7 separate regions of the Mus musculus genome follow, and regions 1, 2, 3, 5, 6 and 7 are each reported to be linked to region 4. The links are microRNA targets in miRTarBase. Many come from high-throughput screens and were not tested one by one. Region 4 holds a microRNA gene; each other region holds the end of a gene's coding sequence. Distances are from middle to middle.

Region 1 (3,082 bases), not on the chromosome of region 4:
ATGCATGTGTGTTAAAGTACTATTTTGCTTAATTCACTAAACTGTCATATTTCTGTATGACCATATGACGGCAGAGAACACTTTGCAGTGATAGGTCCTTGTCTCTGTAGTGTTTTACAGATGCTGAAGTGTTTTAACAGGTATAATTCCTCAGTGTTCTGAAGCCACAGTATGATAAAGCATCAAGTTTCCTGCTATTCCAAAATACTCAGGGCTTCTAAAGTTTCCATAAACCTGGGATCATAGATCTCTGTTGCATGGAACACCACTGTAATCCCACAGCACTAAGTACTTTTAAAGCTGACACCTACTTACTGTAAGCTCAGCTTCTCTTACCCAGCTGTCATGTATGCAGGATACCAGACAGCACTAGATGCCATTTTTGAAGCATCCAGCACATCATACAGTGTCCTCACTAGTGGTTCCTGGTGAAAACACATATTTTCTTCTCCCCTCTCTTTGGGTTATTTTAGAGCGATACACACAAGCAAAGGAGATCTACCAGGAAGCGCTGAAGCGAGCAGAGCTGAAAAGAGATGAGGTTTCTGTTCAGCACATCAGGGAAGAATTGGCTGAACTGTCAAGAAAAAGTAGACGTTTGACTTAATTTTGTTAAGCTATAGAAGTTCATTTTGTTGTAGAGAGGGTAACCTCTGATATCCCAAAGGAGTAACTGTTCCTTCGTTGTCTGGACCTCAATCAGTGTGTAAATCATTGTTGAAATTCAACGTTCGTCAACTCGGCTTCGGAGAAGGACAAGTTGCATACACTGCCACTTTTGTTTCTAAATTTATTTTACTTTGAGATGGGTATCTCTATGGGTAGGCTGGCCTGGAAATCACTATATGCTTGAAGTTGGCCTCCAACTTGGAGTACTACTCCTCCCTCGGCTTCGAAAGTGCCTGGCCCTACTTTTGTTTTTAAAGGTGAAACAGCTTTTACCCTGTACTGACTGTATATAAGGTACAGTCCATGCTCATCTGAGAAATTTACAGACTACAGTTGGCCAAGTTCCTCACCATATGGTCATTATACCTTCCATAAGATTTTGATTCATGCTTACTTTTCTGTATCCATTTCTGGCAAACAAGTTACTTGTATCATGACACAGGAGGATTTTAGTTAGCTCTCTTACACACTATTTTATTGATGCATTATGAGATTTAATGACTATGAAGGGGAATGATAATTCTAGTTGGCCATCATTGGCAGCACTTACTACTAAAGTGGAAGTGAGACATTTGGACTGTATATCTGTTTGTATGTATATAACTACTAAAAATGATGGTGGCAGAAGGAATGAAGCCCTCATCAGCACTGTCTGAACACAGGGCTTCCTTTATAACCACAGGCACAGAGTGGAGTAAAGTTATGCTTACAGCACCCATGTGCTCAGGGTAATGTGCAGCCTCTGATCTGGATCCTAGTTAGCTCTACTTTTTTATTTTGCAATCTCTGAAGTCTGAAACCAATTAGATTGTTTGTCTGATGACTTTATCACTGCCTCAGAGTATATAAATATATGATGCATGGATGGATGCTTTTACCTTTGCAGTCTGGCAAATGGCTTTTTGCCTAAGAGAAAACACATTTTTCTGGGTGCCACGAAGGAACCCTGGTGGTAGAGGTAGGCGGTGTGAGTACGATTGCCAGTGGACTTTGGTTCATGTGTTTGTTCTGGGAGAATCTCTATAATAAACTAGAGACTACGCAATTGTATGGATTCTAATAATCTTGGAATCATAGAAAAATAATGGCCAAGTTACTAGACAGACATACTAAGGTCCAAGTCCTCAGAGCTAAGAGCTACCGCAGAGTCTGTGTTGTGTGGGGAGAGCCCCACATTCTGTTTGAGTTCATTTACCATTCACTTCCTAACCACATGTGATCTTCCCGCTAACCATGAATAACCAGGTAAGAGTTCAGTTACCTTTGCTTTGAAAATGTTTTTTACTTTTTCACAATTCCAGAGTTACCCAAGTTAGCTGTTAGGCTTTTTAATGTTCCATGGTGACTGACCTCATGTCCTGTGGCTGGGGACACAGTCTGTGTATGTTCCCAGCAGCATTCGTTTGCACTATTATAAAAAAGGCAGTGAGACAAAGGGACTCATCTCCTTTTACTGATTACAACTTTAAACAATTTACATTTAATTTCATATTAAAGTTTTAAACTAGACCATGTTACTAGGGTTTTCAGGGCTTAAGTGTTTGTAAGACAATCACAGCATATGAAAATTTAAAGTGTAGTATAAAATTTCTCACTAAGTAGACTGGAAAATTGTCAGAATATTACCTCTGCTGGAAGACCTTGATTTAGTTGCATGTGCATGTGTTACAGATATAGTGCTGGCCCGCCTTGATTTGCAGCTGAGGTCGCAGACTCAGTACTTGCTGCTGCCCGCGTCGGTAAGCCGGCCTCCACCTCTCTAGGTAAACTGTGGGGTTCTGTTCTGTTCTGAAGTAAGAAACGATTCTGGACTTCATGTTGTGTTGTCGTGAACACAGATAGCACAAGCAGTCTGCAGGAGGAGCTACAAGAGTAGGTGACCAAGCTCGATTGACTGACACAGTAAGACAGGGCCAATCATCATCATCATCATTTTTTGGGCTAGTTGACAAAGTGACTTACTAATAAGATCTAGACTTATGTGACTATAACTTGGCAGGGGGACACTTTCAGCAGTAAATCTAATCAGAACACTTAGTCTTCATTATGTTTGTGACTATTGTAAAGGTAATGACTTTACAAGTGATAAGAATCCTGTTCTGGCTGGTCCAGAACTCATCTTGTAATCCAGACTAGCCTTGTACTCTTAGTGATCCGCCTGCCTCTGCCTCCTGAGTGCTGGGATTAAAGGTGTGTGCTATGATGCATAGCTAAAGTTTAAGATCTCAAATGTCTGTCTTTCTTACTTGCTGAGTTATATGGACAAATGCCTAGCCTGCACCTTCATCTATAAAAAAGTGATCAGAAACCTGTGGTGTAGATAGATGCTAAGAGGTGCTTGGGCAGTGGTTCTAGAGACTCAGACCTCCTGAAGCCCTCCCTCTCCCTTCTAGTTCTTAGTGGCATTACCCCC
Region 2 (3,082 bases), 170 Mb from region 4:
CACTGAAGATTCAACTAAGAATCCTTGGGCTTGGTAGCAAGTGCCTTCGCCCACTGAGCCAGCCATCTTGCCAGCCAGCAAATGGTTGTTATACTGTGTTGTTAAGTGGTTTATGACAAAAAGATAAAGAAAAAAGAAAAACCTCTGTCTATGCTTAACACAGATTTGGCATTTTCATCCCTGAATATTGTTGGTCTATGGTTGGTAGCCTTTAAGCACTGAGAACCCAGGGTGCAGGCTGACTGGTGATATCACATTCTCATTGGGTATGTCTTGGTCCCCATGGGAAAGGGAGTTGTCTCACACTGAAGGGGAATGGAGTTTTATGAGATTTTGGGTTTGTCATTCAACTGTGTGTTCTTTTTTGGCATTTAGGGAAGAAGCTGGACTTGGCGTCGGTGGACCTGTGGAAGATGAGAGTGGCAGAGCTAAAGCAGATCCTTCAGAGATGGGGGGAAGAGTGCAGGGCATGTGCGGAGAAAAGTGACTACGTGAACCTCATTAGAGAGCTGGCCCCCAAATATGTAGAGATATACCCCCAAACGGAGCTCTGACCCCGTCGGCTGTCAGGAAGCATGGACTGCAGTTAGAAGAAAATGACTGTCTAAGATGAGAGTGTGCTGGTTAGGGCTAACCAGGGACTGCCCAGTTGGCCGTCAGTTTTGCTGTTGTATTGTGGAGTTGTGTTGTTTAGGCATATGATCAACCCGTGCTTCCTCATGGTCGCTAAAATTGCAGAGCACAGAGACCTCAAGGTGCTTTTCTCATCCTTCTTGGAGGATGCAGTGGTTGCCTTTGCATTGCTATGACAATAATGCTTATTGAGAGAGGCTGGCCATGGCCACATGGAGAGAGGGGGAAGGGAGTGAGAGAAAGAGGGCTAGAGATGAGAGTAAGAAAGGTGAGGGCTTAAAGAGAGAGAGGAAGGGCCAAGCAGCCCCCTTTATAGTGGGCTGGGCTACCTTGCTGTTGCCAGGTAACTGAAACAAGTGTGGGGAGGGAAGAGTCACTTGGGCTCAGGGATTTGGTCCATCACAGCAGGGTAGCTAAGGGCAGCACAGCTCAGAGCAGGGCGACAAGAGCTTGTCATAGAGGCTGTTGTGATTATAGAGAGGCAGAAAGTGATGTCCAAATAATGATAAGGCTGTAACCTTCAAAGGGATAGCCCTATTCATCCACTTCTGTCAGTCAGACACCCACCTCACAGTTTCCCCAAATTACCACTAGCTAGGGAACAAACCTTCAAATCAAACCGATGCCAGGTGTGGTGGTGAATGCCTTTAATGCCAGCACTCTGTCTGGAGGCAGATCTCTGTGAGTCTGAGGCCAGCCTGGTCTACAAAGTGAGTCTAGGACAGCCAGGGTCACACAGAGAAACACTGTTTTGAAAAACAAACAAACAAACAAACAAACAGACAAACACTAAAATAAAATCCAACCAATGAACCAACCAAACAACCAAACAACCCAAACCAAACAAAAAACTGAGCTGGAGGAGGACAGTTCAGATCCAAGGCACAGCAGAAGGACAATGTAGTTTATCACTACTGACTCAAGTGTGCTATGGATATGATGGGATAATACATTTTAAGGAAGGAAAGAGACAAGAGGCATCTCTTTGGTCAAGGTTTTTAAAAAGAGTGCATAACAGAAACTATAGCTTATCTAATGTGCGACTTCAATCTCAATAACCACCTAACATAGTTCAGAAGGTTCTTGTTTCATTTTGCTTTTTAAAAATAGATTTTTTAAAAAACTTCATTCACTCTAAATATTTTCTCTCTTTTGCACAGCAAGGAGGGAAGCATTCATTACTTTATAGGCTCTTGAGACAAAATACCTAAAAAAACAATCGAGAAAGGAGTTAATTTAGTTCATGGTTTGAGATTACAGTTCATCACGGCAGCAGGAGTGTGAGGCCATTGGTCAAACTCATCCATGTCCTAGAAGCAGAGATGGAAGTAGATGCTCTGCTAGCTGTCAGTCTGACCCCAGCACGGGAATGCCACTGCTCACATTCAGGATGGGGTCTTCCTTCCACAGTTAAACTCTCTCTAGCAACGCCCTCCCACTCGTGCCCAGAGGTATGTGTCACCTAGGCAATTCTAAATTCCACCAAGTTAACAATGGCGATTAAGCATTGCACAGCACGAATGGAAGTTTCCGTTTCTCATATAAAGAAAACTGATCGGAAGAATACAAATCAGCAATCCATAAAAAGTCTGTGCTTGGCCTATTTATAACTACCTTTTTTTGTTGTTGTTTTTTGTTTTTTGTTTTTTTGTTTTTTTGTTTTCTTGAAGCAGGATTTCTCTGTATAGTTCTGGCTGTCCTGGAACTCACTCTGTAGACCAGGCTGGCCTCAAACTCAGAAATCCGCCTGCCTCTGCTGGGATTAAAGGCGTGCGCCACCACGCCCGGCTTGTAACCACCTTGAATTGCCACGTGACCCAAGCTCAGAGTCTTCTTCACTGCCCCGTGTCAGGCAGGATGAAAGCATGCTCCCCACGTGCAGGCAGCAGGGGCGCTTGTGGTTTCTAATGCTAGCCTATCAGTCTTAAGAAGCAGGCAATGTTTCAGCTCCATTCTCTGTCCATAGATCAATAAGAAGCACATGGTTAAATGGTTGCCTTTGGGAAATAGGTCAGGGTGTGGCTACTCAAGAAAGCATTCTCTTTAAAGTTTCTGGGGTGATGGGACTGTACTTTATCAAGGCAGGAGGTGAGAGATATGATCATCATATTGATATAGAGGTACAATTAAGATGTGGGTATTCTATTGTACATCAATTCTATTTCATAAAAAGTTGTAGGAGCTATTTGAAAATTACCCAAAATTAATTGATTAAAAGCAACTGTTCTTTTAAATAATCAAATGTACTCATAGCCATCTTTTTTGTAGAGTAGAGAATAACTTAAATTCAGATAATAAATATACATTGACAGAATAAGGTTTATTTTTAAATGGTGCAAGGGAATGCATTTTCAGCTAAGCAATTGGGGTAAACGTGAGTTTGTTAGAGAAGTAGTGGTTCCCAAGGAGATATGGAGGTTGCGCAAACGCAAAATGAAACTAAAAATAC
Region 3 (3,082 bases), not on the chromosome of region 4:
TGCTGGAGCCAGAGCCCACCTCGGTACTGCAAGTGTCGCTCCAAGGACACACCATCCTCCTGGTCCCCGAGGGGCTCCAAGACTCCACCCATTTTGGACAGCCTGGATTCGTGGCCATCAGCCCGCAGGGAGCCGCTGCCCAGGACGGGCCCCAGGATCATCTAGTCGGTCTCCAGGAGGAAACTTTCTGTGAGTACTTCTACCAAGAGGATGTCTGTGATGAGGATGCAGACTTGGAATTTCTGGAGCACTGGGCTAGCCCTCCAGATGATCAGGCCAATGGGAACTTTTCCTCCATCCCAGGGGTGCCCAGTCCTTTGTCTCAGGACCAAGTCCCAGGGCCTTCCACTGGAGCAGAGCAATATTCTCCTAGGTTCATCTGGGAACTGGACATCAACATGCTGGGACCCTTCCCTGGCTCACCACTGCAGCCTCTGCCTCCATCTCCTTCCCGGAATCCCCAAGAGCAGCTTCCGCCATGCCCTCCATGCTCTCCCCGGGCTCCTCGCAGGGCCCGGAAGCGACTGGTCTATGAATGAACTGCCCTGCACAAATCTTTGAGGGGCTTCTCTACCCCTAGTTGCAAGGCACTTAGGCCCCATGATGTTAGAATTAAAGCCTTGCTGACCCAAAGGACTCTTCCCGAGGCCCTAAAAGTTCCTAGAAATTCAAGTGGTAAAATCCCCAACACCTGTTTCTTCTCTAACAAAGAAATTAGTAGGTGTCTTAAGTTCTTGGTGGCCTTTAGTGTTTTCCCGTGAATTTTTGAGGATTTGGACACGACTTATCTACCTCTCTGTTGTTCCGGGCTACTCTCCTAGAAAACTACCCAACACCATCATGTGCTATAATGGTTACCTCACTTGCATGTACAGGGTTCAAAGCCATCTCCAAAGCTCCTTGGAATAGTCTCCCATTTCAGTTCCTTCATTGTAAGTGTGATTCATGGTGAAGTTTGCCGGCTGTTTTCAGCATGCGCTGGGATATGCATTTGTTTTCTTTGTTTTTTAATCTTTGTTTAGTTTGTGATTAGTCAGGATCTCATTAGAAATCTGTGGCTTTCTTAGAACTATGTAATAGAGGCTGGTCTTGAACTCGCAGAGATCTACCTGCCTCTGCCTCCCAAGTGCTGGGATCGAAGTCTTGCGCCACTCTGCCAGGCTTGGGTTTCTTTTTATAGTACATTCGCTTCAAGATTTCACCTAAACTGGTGGAAAATGTTTACATTACTATTATTCCACGTTATTGTTTTGTTTTAAATTCTGAACCAATTTTTGCTCTTATAAACCTAATTTGTAATGTTTTGTATGCAATGGTCATATTTATCTTGTTTTATAAAAATAAAATAAATGTCCCTGGTAAAGGTGAGTCAAAAATCATAGCTGTTCAGCTTTTAGCTGTTCAGTTTTGTCAACCTATTTTACCAAATTCCCTCTTTGTTCTCAGGCTAACCTCAATTTTTATCTTGCTACTACTAATCTGCTTTTAATTTCTTTTTGCATTAATACAGATTTAACCTAGGATCTCACACATACTGGGCAAGCGCTCAAATACATGTACATCCCTAGCTCTCTCCTTACTTACTCTTTATTTTGAGACAGGGTCTCACTAAGCTGCTTGGGTTAGCTTTAAACTCATTCTGTAGCCCAGACCCACCTTGAAAATGAAGTCCTCCACAGGAGCCACCCTAGAAGCTAAGGTTATTGGCCAGAGTGTAGCTCTTACATACAACTTTTTTTTATTGTTTAATTTATCATTGATGTGTATTTGACTGAGTGTGTGTGATTTGTGTGTGAGCCCAGGACCATGCGTGTCATCGAGTGTCTGCCACAACACACCTGTGAAAAATCACAGGACAACTTGGGAGTCAGTTCTCTCCCTCTACCGTGGACTCAGGAGATCAGTTATCAGGCTTCCAATTGTCAGGCTTGTAGAGTGAGTACTTCTGCCTGATGATCCCATCCCACCAGCCCCAGAGATAGGCTTTAACAGTTATATGTATGTGTGTGTGTGTGTGTGTGTGTGTGTGTGTGTGTGTGTGTGTATATATATATATGTATATGTATATGTATATTTATTTATTTAACAATTATCTCCATTATGTCTGTCCTGCCTTGGTTCTATAGTCCAAAAACTCTTAGGATTTTATGCTTGAAAATGTTTCATTCCGTACTCATTTTATTTAAACGTGAAATAGGAATGGCCAAGTGGAAATAAATAGACAATAAACCACTGTATAATTCTTAAATGTACAGTGGACTCCAACACAATGCTACATTCCAGATACTGGTGGAAGAATTTGGAAAAAAAAAAAAATACTGGCTGGGCATCCAGAAACTTAAATGAAAGCAGACTGAATGGAGGGTCATCAGTATTCACACCAAAAATAAATAAATAAAAACTAGTTTTTAATGCCAGTCTTCTTAATTCCACCTGTGGCCAGGGCCTTTCCCTGCAGGCTTCCCTTTCAGCTTCTAGCACTTTCTTCTCCCTTTTCATTTGTTTCTGTCTGAAACTTCATCCATCTTGTTAGCATGTCCCTTGGACTGACTTGAGGTTTCTAGCCACCATTGTGGAGGGTGAGGCGTCTCTTCCCCATCTCTCCCCTCAGCCCTTGATCCTAAATGTAGTTTCTCTAGCATAATATTTGACTACTTTAAATTTATTAATCCAGTGTTTCACCATCTTTTTATCTAAATGGTTGTGTAACCAACCAATCAAAATATCACTATTTTATATGTGGGGGTATTGTACATCTTAGTTTTAAGGGTTTGAAGTGTTTTATTCGTGGCCTGCTTTTGTTTTGTGACAAGTTCTGTGTAGTCCAGGCTGGTCCGGAAGTCCCCACCCTCCTGCTTCAGCCTCCCAAGTCCCAGGATTACAGGTGTGTAAAATCTGTAAAAGCCACATCTGCCTTCATTTTACTTCAAATATTTGTTGGGTTTTCGTGTCACATAGTTTGATTATAATGTGTCTATGACGATATTATTTCTATTTGGCTTGGCTGAATGTAGTTGACTGTGGATGTTGAGAATTATCACTTACCTAAAATCTCACACACTGCCTTAGTCAGGGTTTCTAT
Region 4 (3,082 bases):
GGATCCTTGCTCAGAGAGCAGCTGCCCCTTATCCAATTATGTTTTCTCCCAGAGTCTCTCCTGACACATGTGGTGATTTTTGCAGTTCTTGATGCCAACCATTCTCTCCCACTAGTAACACAGCCAGGAGAGTCTTACCTCTTTGTCAAGACAATGGCTACAGACAAGGAAGAGGGTGGGAAGATGAGTGGCAGGTAACACTAAGAAGGAGGCTCAGTGCAGAGGAGTGTTGGAAAAGCAGAAACAGCAGGCCTGAGGACAGCGGCCTATGGCTGGTGAGTGAGTAGCTTGTTGGGGCTTCCCAAAGGAAGAGAACTGAAGTTTATAGAATTCATATCTGAGGGTTTTACTCTAGCTTCTGCTCACGAGACGGCTGATACACAGCCTCCCATTTGGGCTTCACAGCCTTCACTCCCTGTTTAGTGCTTAACCTGCACTATTGGTTTGAATCTTCTTCAATGTCTCTCTATCCATCCATCCACCCACCTACCCGCGCATCTATCCACACACTCATCTGTTCCCCCTCCTACCCCCCATCCCTCCCTCCCTCCCTCCCGCCCTCCCTCTATTCAGAGTTTACTGTACTCTAAATGAAAGGTGCTCCAGCCCTCTTGCAGTTGAGTTAAATCTAATTAATGGGAAGAGACACTAAGAAGCAAGATCAAGCCAGGTGTGTGCTAGAAGCAAGCTGGTGAAGTGGGATGAGTGATGGGCACACCAGGCAGAGCTGGGTAGAGCGCAGAGCACAGATGAGAACAACACCAAACAATCTTTCTTCGTGAATTTATTAGGCAGATACTGTGTCACACTTGGGAGAGGCTGGGTGTGAGTAACTCAAAACTGGGTGCCTGACACCCTCCCCCCCCAGCTCAGTCTTACAGGGGTGGTTCACCAAAATGCCTTCTAGACTGGACACAGCAGTTTATGCCAGAAATGCTGGAGTCTAAGGCATAAGGATTCCAAGTTTTAAGGCCAGTATGGATAATTCAGTGAGATCTTGTCTCAAAAATAAATAAATAAATAAATAAAAAAGGGGGGCTGCCATGAAGACCGGTGTGGATCTGACTGATGTCCATCCCACTCCTGTAGGAAAGAAAAGATAAGTGAAAGGAAAGCAAACAACCACATCAAGGAAGGTCTGGTGCTAGGAAGCAAGTTTCCCAGCCAAGGATACAGAAGAGTAGGGAGATACTACACAAGGTGGTACAAGCCCAGGGAAGCAGGGCACTATTAGCCTAGAGCAGACAGGGTGGGGTCAGGTCTCTGGTACCCCATGAGCACTAACTGGGGGGCAGGACTAGTCTAGCAGAGGCTGCCACTGGGATCAAGCCAAAGACAGCAAGCATTCTCTAGAGCCCCAAGGGACTACTTACCATGCGACGCTCTGCGGACACCTTCAGGAGAGCCTCCACCCAACCCTCTGAAGCGAGCACAACAGGATTGAGGGGGGGCCCTCCAGAAAGGCCCTCTTGTCACCTTCCACATAGGCTGTTCTGTGTGCACACAGATGGAGATCCCCTCTTAGGGGCCCTGCCTCTGTCTCCCCAACCCCAAGACCCTAGGAGGGTCTCTTTCTGTAGTCTCGAATGCCCACTAACCTGGATCTTGGCCCGCTCACCCGCTTCCCAGCTACGTGCGCTCAGAAGCCACTGCATCGACAATGGGAAGGTGGCAGTCTTAGTAGTAGGCTCAGGGCATTATGACAAGACCTCAAAGTTCTCCATGGCTTTTAGAAACATCTATCTCTGACTCCACCAGCTACCTTGATGGGTGGGGGAACTTAGAGGATGAGTTCCGTGTGTCAACCAGCAACATTCTCCTGGAGATCGGAAGGAAGCTGTTGGCCCACTCCTAAGCTGAGAGAAGGCTAGTTCCTCCCAGTCATAAAACTCAAGGGAAGAACAGCCCTCCTCTGCCAAAGGCCTGGGCCTCTTATGCCTCTTGGTGTCTCTTTCAAGCACGGCAGGAACGTCCCAGCCTACCTCAAATAGCTGTGGTGCTCAGGAAGCAGTCAATTGGGCAGGAGCTAGTTAGTGGGGGTCCAGAGACACTCATCTCATGGCCAGATCTGTCTATGACCACTCCATCCAATGGACTCACTCACTTGCATGTAGTAGCACAAAGAGGGCCATGGTGTGGCAAGTATCCTGTACAGTAAACCCTCTTGTTCTATCAAGGTGCCATTATGAACCAATCAAACCATTTCTAAGCAGCCCTGTAGATTCCCACGCTCCAAGAAGGATCCACCTTGCTGGGCCTCTGCTCCAGCAAGACCCACCTCCCAACTCAAATGCCCCACCCCATGGGTGCTGACTGGGTCTCTGTGAGGTGAAAAATCAATCCATACCTGAGGAGGAAGAACCCCCAAGTTCTCCTACTTAGCAAACCTTTTCCTCAGGACTGAATGTTGTGCTCACAGCAGAAGCAGCTGAAGAAGTGCAGGCTCCAATCCTTGAGGCTCCCCATCACACAAGGCTTCAAAGGCAGGACTGTGCTGAGAGCTCAGAGGTGCTTAGAACAGAGAGATGGGGTAGGGAATGTTAAGACATAAACAAAACAGACACACAGCCGCTAAGGTCATAGTTTTAAGCTCTTCAACTTAATGGTTCTGTCCTAGTAGCCAAACAGCCATCAGAAGACATATTTATGGGCAATCTTTTGGCTACTGTCTGACCATGTGAGACACAAGAGCCATGTTTTTGAAAACACAGGTCCTTTTCTAATGAATGCAGGTCGTTAACGAAATAGGCTTGGAAGTCATCTTCTAAGGCCTTTGTCCATGACCCTAGACAAATCATCTTCCCAGAGTTCACTTGTACGGGGCCCTCAGCCAGGGCAAGCACTGAGGACAAGAAATCAAGTCTAGAGACTTCAGAAAAGGCTTCCTTTCTCTTTTCTGAAACTCTTTGGTTGAGCAGAGAAGAGAGACGGAGCAGAGCCATCATGCTCCCACGGGTGCAGTAGAGCAACAGTGGGAGGCAGAAGCAAACAGAAGAACAGTGAGGCCCATCACAGAAAGACACATCTGATGGACACCCACCCACCCTTGATCCCAACCATCAACATGGACAACCAACCCAGG
Region 5 (3,082 bases), 6.9 Mb from region 4:
CAAGCACAACTACCTCCATTCTGTGTAAAAACAGGAGGCCATAGCAGATCAGCCTAAGCTTGTTTCCTTAGGAATGACCCCAAAGCTGATTTGTTAACTACATCTCTCAAGCCTGAACAAACTTAAGGTTGTGGGATGCTTTTTATAAATTAAAATTACTGTTGAGGAGTTCATTTAGCTTTCACTCCACTTACATTTCTGTCCACTCAACAGTTACAGGCGTGTTACAAGGTATCAGCACTAAAATTGCTCTTGTTAACAAGTCAGGCAAATGTCACCAACACCACAAAAGCAAGACCATCCCCTTCGTCCCTTCCTCTATTCTACCCTTGGGTTTCATTTCTCCTTTTAGCATTTTAAATACTCAGTAGAATGAAACTTGTTTAAACCCTGGTAAGAAAAAAAAAGTCTATCTCAGTAGCTCTCAACCTTTGGGTTGTAACCTCTTTGACAAAAGGGAATTCTATCTCCAAAAATATTCATAATTCATAACAGTAGCAAAATTACAGTTACGGAGTAGCAACAAAAGTAATTTTATGGTTAGATGTCACCACAATATGAGGAACTGCATTAAAGGGTCGCAGAATTAGGAAGGTGAGAACAACTGGTCTAGCTATACTGTGTTCATGTTGGACAGGTCTGGAAACATTCCTGTTTTTTATTTTACATTATTCTAGATCATGTGATCTTTAAGAACATTTGACTTTGTTTCTATATTTCTGAGAGATTTTAGGGATATTTAATGAGCACTCATCTCTAGACCAGTCCAAACAGAACTGTAAGAGATTTTTTTTTTGTTTTTTTTTTTTTATTTTGTTGTTTCCTTGTTTTTGAGACAGGGTCACTCTTTGCATGTTAGAACTCTGTAGACCAGGCTGCTCCCAAACACACAGATATACCTGAATCTGCTTCACAAGTGCTGGGATTAAAGAAGTGTACCAGGGTTGTCCCCTCTATAACTGGGGGAAGGACTCTACAAACAGCCAAATGTACACGGTCCCTATAGCTTTAATTTTAGAACGTTTAGTCCTGATTCAGTTTATGTCCACTTGGATTTTTATACAAATTTTGTTCTTTTTTATTTATTTTTGTTTTTATGAAACAGGGTCTCCCTGTGTAGCTCTGGCTGCCCTGAAATTTGCTACATAGACCAGGCTGGCCTGGAACTCACAGAGATCTGCCTACCTCTGTCTCTCAAGTGCTAGGATTAAAGATGTGCACCACCAAGCCCAGTCCAAATTCTGTTCTTGGTGAAAATGAAAGGTTCAGTTACTGAGAGAGGGGAAATTTTTGATGAATGTCTATGCAAAAGACTTTATTCAAAGGTTTTCATTTGCCCTGTTTCCAAACATTTTCCTGTGCTCTCCCTATCTAGTGACGACGTTACATCCCAGAGAGCTGCTTTACAGGAAGCAGTACAGAAAGTGTCATCTCTAGGATACAGAGAGGATGTTTCTGTAAGGAAGGTTGCGGCATCTTCACCTGTTGTGAGAGGGCAATCTGGACGTGGCTGTAGACATGTCATCAGAGAATTATGCCCACTTCCAGTCAGGTAGCCTCGGGTACGTGCTTTTGGGATACTCCCCCTCAGAACTGGGGTTCTAATCTCCAAGTACATAAGGAGATGAAATGGAGAACAGATAGCCTGTCTAGCCTTTATGGGTCAAGTATGGGTTCAAAAGCACTGAAGACACATGAGGGAGAGCAGCCTTGGACCAGAGCCATCTTGGAAAACTCGGGTCCAAATGGGAATCAGAGGATGGCACAGGATATAAGGGTATCCTGCCTCAGGAACCCAGGGCAAAAGCATCTCTGAAGGGAAAGGACACGGAGCTCTGAAAGTAAACACCAGACTCACAAGCTCAGACCGAGTTTGACTTTAGAAACAAGTGCAGAGCCTCGGGCAGAGATGCAGAAGAGCTGCCTCTGCCCACATGGTTAAGAATCCTGGCTCTGCCAGGCAACAACAGTAGCACATGCCTTTAATCCCAGCACTTGGGAAGCAGAGGCAGGTGGATCTCTGTGAATTTAATGCCATCCCGGTCTACAGAATGACTTCCTGGACAGCCAGAGCTACATAGAGAAAACCTGTCTTGGAAAAAGCAAACAAGAAAATCTCCTGGCTCTTACTGACTCCATCGTCTTCCCTCTGCTTCTGCGGACCCCAGGTGATTGGGTATCTCAAGCACTCACTCCCCACTGGGCACCGGAAACCACAAAGCAGAAATTTCATATCCATTTATCTCTGTCTTCAACTTTCTAGGTGAGGATCCTCCAACAAAACCAAGGTTATAAAGAGAAAATCATGTAAACTTGTTCTGGGTTGTATGTGGCATAAGATCCTGCAGAATTAAGGTGCTAAAGGGTAGGGTATGTGTTTGTGGACAGTCAAGCTCCAAAAGTGGTATGAAAAGAACTCCACAAGGCCTGTTGCCTAGACTCTTCTTGGCTTCTCTGTCACATGAAGTCTTCACAGGAGAAGGGAGGAAGAAGCCAGAGAGTGACTTTCTGGATTTTGTGTATTGCCTCCTGGAGGAGGGAAAGGAAGCCGGGTTGCGCACGCCTTTGATCCCAGCACTTGGGAGGCAGAGGCAGGCAGATTTCTGAGTTTGAGGCCAGCCTCCTCTACAAAGTGAGTTCCAGGAGAGCCAGGGCTATACAGAGAAACCCTGTCTCGAAACCCCCCCCCCCCAAAAAAGGGAAAGGAGCCTCTTTACTCTTTCCTTGACAAAACGCAGTATTTGAGGTATGTTTGGTATGTTTCCTATCCCTTCATCTCAGTAAACTGAAGGATGGTTCATGCCTTCAATAGAAGTCCAGGATAATCACGAGGCCCTCTTCTGTGGGTCCTGGCCACGTCCAAGGAGCTCAGACCAGGTTCTCATACCTGGTGATACCTGTGAGTTTCTCACACAGGTCTTTGAAGCAAGGTCTCTGCTTGGGGTCTCTGCTCCAGCAGCTGAGCATCAGCTTGTGTATGTTGGGTGGGCACTCCAGAGGGCAGGGCATGCGGTAGCCGGCATCCACCCTCAGGAAGGTTTCATGATTGGACATGCCTGTGGCCCATGGGAGAAGAGAAATG
Region 6 (3,082 bases), 120 Mb from region 4:
TCATACACAGTTCTGTTTAAAAGCATGTTACATTTCTATACATTAAAATTATATAGACTACTTTTAGAGAGCAGCCTTCATCTAATGAATCAGTAAGTTCCTGATTGTGGTTATCTTTTACAGAGACTCACTTTGAGACATGCTAACAGTAACCAATGTCTTGATGAACCTTCTGAAGAAGACAAAATGGTGCCTACCATGCAGGACTGCAGTGGCAGCAGATCCCAACAATGGCTGCTGAGGAACATGACCTTGGGGACATGAAGATATTTTTTTTCCCAAGATGTGAAAGTCTCTACATGTTTGTTTGTCCATTATTTTAGTTTGGTGAAAGTATTAACTTTTCTGAATTAAAAGTTTAAAAAATACTTTTAGTAATATAAAACACAATTGTTTATAATTCATTTTTAGGAATGTTTATTTCCCTACTAAAATTTGTATCTGATTAAAGAAGCACATAAAATATAAATAATAAGAAACTGTTATTAAACATTTGAACTGTTTGGGAAAAACACACCTTGTATTTACTTTTAAAATGTCTTCAATAACCTCTTGTCACAGGGTTATTTGGAATTGGTTTATTTTGTGTTGTAATAATAATTAAAAGAGAGATCATGTAAAGCCTTATACAATATCATAATTATAAAATATTAATGTAGCTTTATAAAACACTCTTTTTTACAAAAGCTTCATGGGACCCTGGTTGAATTTCTATGCCAACAATTAGAATCCATATGAAATCATTCCTGAACATTGAATTCATCAAACAAAATATAAGGTAGTAGGAAAATAATTAAGCTAGTTATTGAATTTGTAAAATAAAAATCATCATACAAAATAAAGAAAAGAATTTTTAAAACCTATTTATAATAATAAATTTAAATCAAATGATGTAAGGAGTACATGAGGTATTGAGGAAAACAAGAGCTATATAAACTACAAGAGTTGCTGTGAAAGAATCTTCATTCTGAACACAAGCTGAAGACGGTCTTGCTCTGAGGTGTGATATCAGGACCTGAATCCCCAGTTTCTCCCTGTCTCCATACAGAGAGTTTTTGTCCATCAGCTGTATCTTTGCCCTTCACTCCAGAGGGTGAGATTTGTCACAGCCTACAGAACTGTAGGTGAAGAGTGACCTTTTAGATTTAATTTCTAAAGTACTATCCCTTTTAGTTCAGTCAGTGCGGTCATTGGCACTTTGCATTCTATAAAAAGAATGGCACTCAAAATCTATTGCTATGCTATAAAATCCAACATTGGTCACTGGAAAAATTGGAGTTATTAAAAATTATATTAATTAAACTACTAGACATGATTTTGCATAAACTATGGCTGTCATAATTAGGACAATTTCGTGTGTCATTTCCACATAAAACCCCTTTGTTCACAGTGCATGGACTAATTATATGAAAAAGGAAAACCTACCAATTCATGGGACAGTAATAATTGTTATATGTTTGCTACCATTTTAGGTGGCCACATAGTTGTTGTACATGTATGTTTTGGTTGTATATCTAGCAGCTGGAGGAACTCTATGGGGGTGAAGCTAGAAGATTCTTCAGGAACAGAAAGTCCATACTTTTGACCTTTTATTTTAAAGGATCTTCTATAAAAAGAGTTAATGAGCTTGCTACACTTGCTTTCTTTCTCTCTCCTCTCTCTCCATTTTTCACTGATTCTCTCCTCTGTCTATTGTCACTGTCTTTCTCTGTTTCTATTACTGTCTCTCTTTTACACAAACACAAACACACACATGCATATGTGTACACACATACACATATACTCACACACACACACACACAAACACACACACACACACCTGAGTTGGGCTATTATATTTTTCATACTGCACAAGTCTACCCATTTCAGTGGTCTTTCTCATCAGAACAAATGCATGTTTCACCTTCTGGACGCTCAAGTCAAAACTATGAAACTGGGATAAGGGCTTGCTCACTCAGTAGGTGTTTGCCCCTCAACCAAGAGGAACTGATGCTGATTCCAAGCTAAATAACCACTAGATGTGGGAGGATGTACTTGTAACTCTAATACTGGGGAGGTAAAAAAAAAGAGAATTTCTTGAATTTCCTCACCAGCCAGGTTGTCCTCATGGACAAGCTCCCAATCAAATGAGAGACTTTGTCCCCAAAATCAAGTGATAATGTCTTTCAAACTTTTCAAGCCTGTTCTAACTGTAGCTTACAGACTTCATGAAACTGCCTGATGTCAAAGTTAACTAGGATCTTGGTCCAACACAAAATTTAAACTTGTTTTAAATTTTCATTTTGGATATTCACACTGTTTTGATACCAAGTGTTTATTTTTGTAGATAACAACATTATTGCAATGTAAAACTTTGGACAAATTGAGTCTAACCATCTTAAAAGTAACTTGATGCTATCTTTGACATATAACAGCAAACCAACAATTTGGGGCCACAACCATTGTGGGTTGCTCCTTCTGACTAAATCATAAGAAATATGCATATATTATAATTCTCTATTCATGCCAAGTCTTACCCAATGCTACACTTGTTTACTTAATACAAGAGTCACATAGATACTATTATGTATGAATTTGTGTATTTTCCTGAACATAATCTTCCCATTAATCCTCAAATCATTTCATAGCCATTGTGTCTCTATACCCAGAACAAAACACTCAACAAACATATACACATACCTTGGACAGATGGAGAGGGAGAGAGAGAGAGAGAGAGAGAAAGAGAGAGAGAGAGAGAGAGAGAGAGAGAGAGAGAGAGAGAGAGAGACCTCTGCCTTTTTTTTATCTCTTACTGTCTTGCATTTCATTACATTGTTCTGGCTGCCAAACAAGTCTGTTTTACTGTTGGTTCTATCAGTCCCAAGATATCATTCACTTATTTCTTTAGGTCTCTATACAAACATGACCTCTTCAGTACAACAAATGCTTGTCCTGCCTGTAGTCTCTCATTCCTATCTCTCTGAGCAAATCTAAGATTATTCTTTTGCTTATTTCAATTTCTTCCAGTCTCATACACCAACACACACTTGGCCATATAATCACATTTATTTATGTTTTTTTTTTTTTTTTTTCTGTTTCAGAG
Region 7 (3,082 bases), not on the chromosome of region 4:
AACAACATCCTGGGGCTGGAGAGACGGCTCAGCCGTAAGAGCACACGCTGTACTTGCAGAAGACCCAAGTTTGATTCCCAGCATCCACATAGGGAAGCTCACAACCCCCAACAGCTCCAGGGGCTCCTACATCTTTTACTAAGGTATTTATGTGTACAAAAGCATACGATTAAATAAATAAAAGCTGTGTGGTGGTATACACCTTTAATCCCAGCACTCAGGAGGCAGAGGCAGGTGGATCTGAGTTCAAGGCCAGGCTGGTCTACAAAGCTAGTTCTACAACAGCAACGCTTATGAAAACAAAACAAAACAAAAAACAAAAAGCTCTGTCTGGAACTGGACACCCCCCAGCCCCAAATATTTATTTCTTAGGCTTTATAGTTGTAGCCTGTCTGTGCTTCCAGAGTACTGGGAATAAAGGCACAGACCACTATGCCCAGCTGTAAATTAAGTGAAAACAAAAAAACAAAAACCAACTTTAACCCAAGGGTGAAGCCTGGACCTATTTTATCATTTCTGAGTGGTCTCTGAAACAGATCTGAGCCCAAGCCCCAGGCTGCTCTGAAGACACCTTGAGTGGAAACAAGTGGGAGATGAATTCTTTGCAGCATCGGAGTCACCTCCAGGGTTGGAAGCATCGTCAGTTTATCTTCTGCACACCAGGTTCTAACACTCAGGACTGTCCTTACAAGGCAACACATCCATGCCACACCGGTGGACTGTGGTTCTGGGCACAGGAACAATGCACTGGGAGCAGGACAATCGCTTCAGGTGCTTTTATTAGGTTCCACTGCAGGGCTGGGGTCAGAAAAATACTCATCCACACCCAGCCAGTGCATACCTGTGAGCCCAAGCAGAGCAGAAGCGGGAGCACCCATGCCCCAGGAGCAGGCTGATCAGAGCAAGGCCAGGGCTAGACCCATCTCTGAGCCTGAAGAGGACCATGGCAGCCACTGGGTTCACTTGGGTGGGTGTGCTCACAAGCACCTCTTTTTGGGCTGTAGTGCCTGATGACAGTAGGGATTAGAGGTGGGACCAGGGCCACCTCCATGTAGAAGGAGGTAGCTGAGCTGCCCGGGTCTGAACCTTCTGTAGGGCTCACCCCAAGGTGGTAGCTTTAGCTTGACTCTCTTTGGACAATAAAATAAAGTGCATTACTGAACAAAGAGTAACTCAAAACCATAAGCAGAGAAACCACAAAAATTTCTTTAGCTATAAGTCAGAGAAAACAAGAATTATGTGGATGCCAGAACATGAGAACGTAATTAACTTTGTAGACAAAGATGAATGGGGGACAAGCAGTGGCAAACAGGTCTCCAGCGTCTGTGCTGCCCAGCACCTGCCCAGCATGTAATGGTGCTAGTGTGATTGGCATCAGAAACATAGCTAAGTCACAGACAGAAATGCCAGACTCAGGGACCAGAAAAAACAAAAAACAAAAAACCGAAAGGTGAAGCCCTAGCCAGAGACACTACCAGCCCTCAGCACTCTCTCTCTCTCTCTCTACTGCTGGCAGGTAGCTGGAGAGATCACTTGCCTTGCTCTCTACCACTGCTAACCCCTCAGGATGACCCTGTCAATACCAAACCAAGCCCAATGGCTCCACAGTCCCAGGGCTTTAGCTTCAGATCTCATGCCAGGTGAGACCCAACGGTGCTGGCCAGCCCTGCCACACGATAGATAACCTAGCAATAAGTGTTCTGTCCACAGGGCCAGAGATGCAGAAGGGAACATTGGTGCATTCTACTAAGGTGACAAACATGGCTCCCAGCAGTCCACAGCTGGCATGGACTTTCCCAGGGTGAAGGACAGCTGACTCAGCTCTCATTAAGGCAACGAGGCATCACGACATCCATCTCTTACCTGGGTAAGGGCTGTCACAACACAGCCACATAGGACCCTTAGGGACTGTTTCTATTTGCCTCACAGTGGTCAAATGGGCACCTTTTCTAGGCTTTCTCAACTGCCACACACTGTGCAAGAAGACCACAGTGTGGGGACTCGCTGGGTAAAGGTACAGTGCTAGGAGAGGGGACCAGAACTCCAGGGCTGTCCAGACTTGAAGGGGCTGACTGCCAGGCAAGAGCCACCACTGCTCTGATGAACCACCCATGCTACCAACTGCCACTGTCTGCAGCGTGGCAGGAAAGTCTCAGGCACTGAGGTTTGCTTCTGAGGAGAAATGATGGTGGCCTCCTGCCCAATAAACCACCCAAGAGGGGCTGCACTGAAGGAGGAAGGAGCAGAGGTAAATCTCTCACTCCCATCTGTGCAGTTTTATCTTTAAAAAACAATAAATAAAAGTTTCCTGGGTGGGAATTATTGATAACTGCTGATTTCAGGCAAGTAAAGGTCAGGGACCTACTATACTGCATGTCAGACAAAGGCTGCCACACCCTAGCCACACATGCTCCCAAAGGAGGGACACAGCCCCACAGCAAGGGAACAGAGACAGCCAGGAACATTCATCCGAACACTGGGGGAGAAGGTGGGAAGGCAGAAAACAAAGATCATAGAGGAAGGAGAGATAGCTGGGTGACAGCAGCACCCTCTCTGTACACCCCAATTTCAGGTGATTGGCTGGACGTGTTCAGTCCCTCCAACACGTGAGGCGTGTGGGGAGCTCTTGGGCAGGTCTGCTCTGCCTTCCCAGGTGGGAGGCTCTGTTCAACCCCAGCACAGCAGCCGAGGTTCTTTCTCTTCAAGATCTGCACGGAGACGCTTCAGGGTATCTGGAATACCAGGGCAGCTGGCCCCACTGTTTCAGGGCTGTGGGCTTCAGGCCTTATAGGGAACATGTGGCGCTCCAGACTTCAGAGGGCTGGGCTGGCCCAGTCCCATGCAGCAGAGGCCCAGAGCCCTAGGTCCGGGGGAGGCTGCACATCTCGCAGTGGCCTGTGCCAGGTTGGTTCATGAAGGTGCAGTGCTGACAGGCCCACATGGCAGAGGTAGCAGCGCGTGCAGAGCCCCCGACTGCACCAAACTCGTGGAGGCCTGGGAGCTGCACACCAACGGTGCCTGTAGGGTAAAGTGAGAACACGTCATGCCTGCACAGAAAAAGACATCTCCTTAGAGCCAGATG

The links. The annotated mature microRNA mmu-miR-298-5p reads GGCAGAGGAGGGCUGUUCUUCCC and lies in region 4 at 1,895-1,917, opposite strand. An mRNA with a match to its seed (bases 2 to 7 or 8) in the 3' UTR can be bound and repressed. Matches are read on the target gene's strand: a 7mer-m8 pairs with bases 2 to 8, a 7mer-A1 pairs with bases 2 to 7 and ends in A, and an 8mer does both.
Region 1: the mRNA of Ttc19 is a reported target of mmu-miR-298-5p. Seed matches in the 3' UTR shown: 7mer-m8 at 2,295-2,301 and 7mer-m8 at 2,831-2,837.
Region 2: miRTarBase lists Cdnf as a target of mmu-miR-298-5p. Seed matches in the 3' UTR shown: 7mer-m8 at 2,384-2,390.
Region 3: the mRNA of Prr23a3 is a reported target of mmu-miR-298-5p. Seed matches in the 3' UTR shown: 7mer-m8 at 1,113-1,119.
Region 5: miRTarBase lists Ptk6 as a target of mmu-miR-298-5p. Seed matches in the 3' UTR shown: 7mer-m8 at 2,586-2,592.
Region 6: miRTarBase lists Galnt13 as a target of mmu-miR-298-5p. Seed matches in the 3' UTR shown: 7mer-m8 at 2,768-2,774.
Region 7: miRTarBase lists Nploc4 as a target of mmu-miR-298-5p. Seed matches in the 3' UTR shown: 7mer-m8 at 2,845-2,851, 7mer-m8 at 2,243-2,249 and 7mer-m8 at 225-231.

What each region holds. Positions count from the first base shown.
Region 1 is chr11:62,313,537-62,316,618 of GRCm38, forward strand. Ttc19 (tetratricopeptide repeat domain 19) reads left to right here. Exons shown (of 10, transcript NM_028360.2): 10 at 474-2,888. The coding sequence ends at 607. Ncor1 (nuclear receptor co-repressor 1) reads right to left here. Exons shown (of 45, transcript NM_001252313.1): 45 at 2,890-3,082. Among named protein-coding and RNA genes, the nearest start is that of Ttc19, 34 kb to the left of the region's middle.
Region 2 is chr2:3,523,436-3,526,517 of GRCm38, forward strand. Cdnf (cerebral dopamine neurotrophic factor) reads left to right here. Exons shown (of 4, transcript NM_177647.4): 4 at 376-2,941. The coding sequence ends at 554. Among named protein-coding and RNA genes, the nearest start is that of Cdnf, 12 kb to the left of the region's middle.
Region 3 is chr9:98,865,221-98,868,302 of GRCm38, forward strand. Prr23a3 (proline rich 23A, member 3) reads left to right here. Exons shown (of 1, transcript NM_028033.1): 1 at 1-1,360. The coding sequence ends at 539. Among named protein-coding and RNA genes, the nearest start is that of Prr23a3, 2.0 kb to the left of the region's middle.
Region 4 is chr2:174,265,659-174,268,740 of GRCm38, forward strand. It overlaps Mir298 (microRNA 298), which reads right to left and starts at 1,927; the gene lies at 1,846-1,927. It overlaps Mir296 (microRNA 296), which reads right to left and starts at 1,467; the gene lies at 1,389-1,467.
Region 5 is chr2:181,192,901-181,195,982 of GRCm38, forward strand. It overlaps Ptk6 (PTK6 protein tyrosine kinase 6), which reads right to left. Exons shown (of 8, transcript NM_009184.2): 8 at 2,224-3,056. The coding sequence ends at 2,869. Among named protein-coding and RNA genes, the nearest start is that of Ppdpf, 7.2 kb to the left of the region's middle.
Region 6 is chr2:55,112,698-55,115,779 of GRCm38, forward strand. Galnt13 (polypeptide N-acetylgalactosaminyltransferase 13) reads left to right here. Exons shown (of 13, transcript NM_173030.2): 13 at 124-3,082. The coding sequence ends at 264. Among named protein-coding and RNA genes, the nearest start is that of Kcnj3, 320 kb to the right of the region's middle.
Region 7 is chr11:120,379,609-120,382,690 of GRCm38, forward strand. Nploc4 (NPL4 homolog, ubiquitin recognition factor) reads right to left here. Exons shown (of 17, transcript NM_001195023.1): 17 at 190-3,018. The coding sequence ends at 2,861. Among named protein-coding and RNA genes, the nearest start is that of Faap100, 2.4 kb to the left of the region's middle.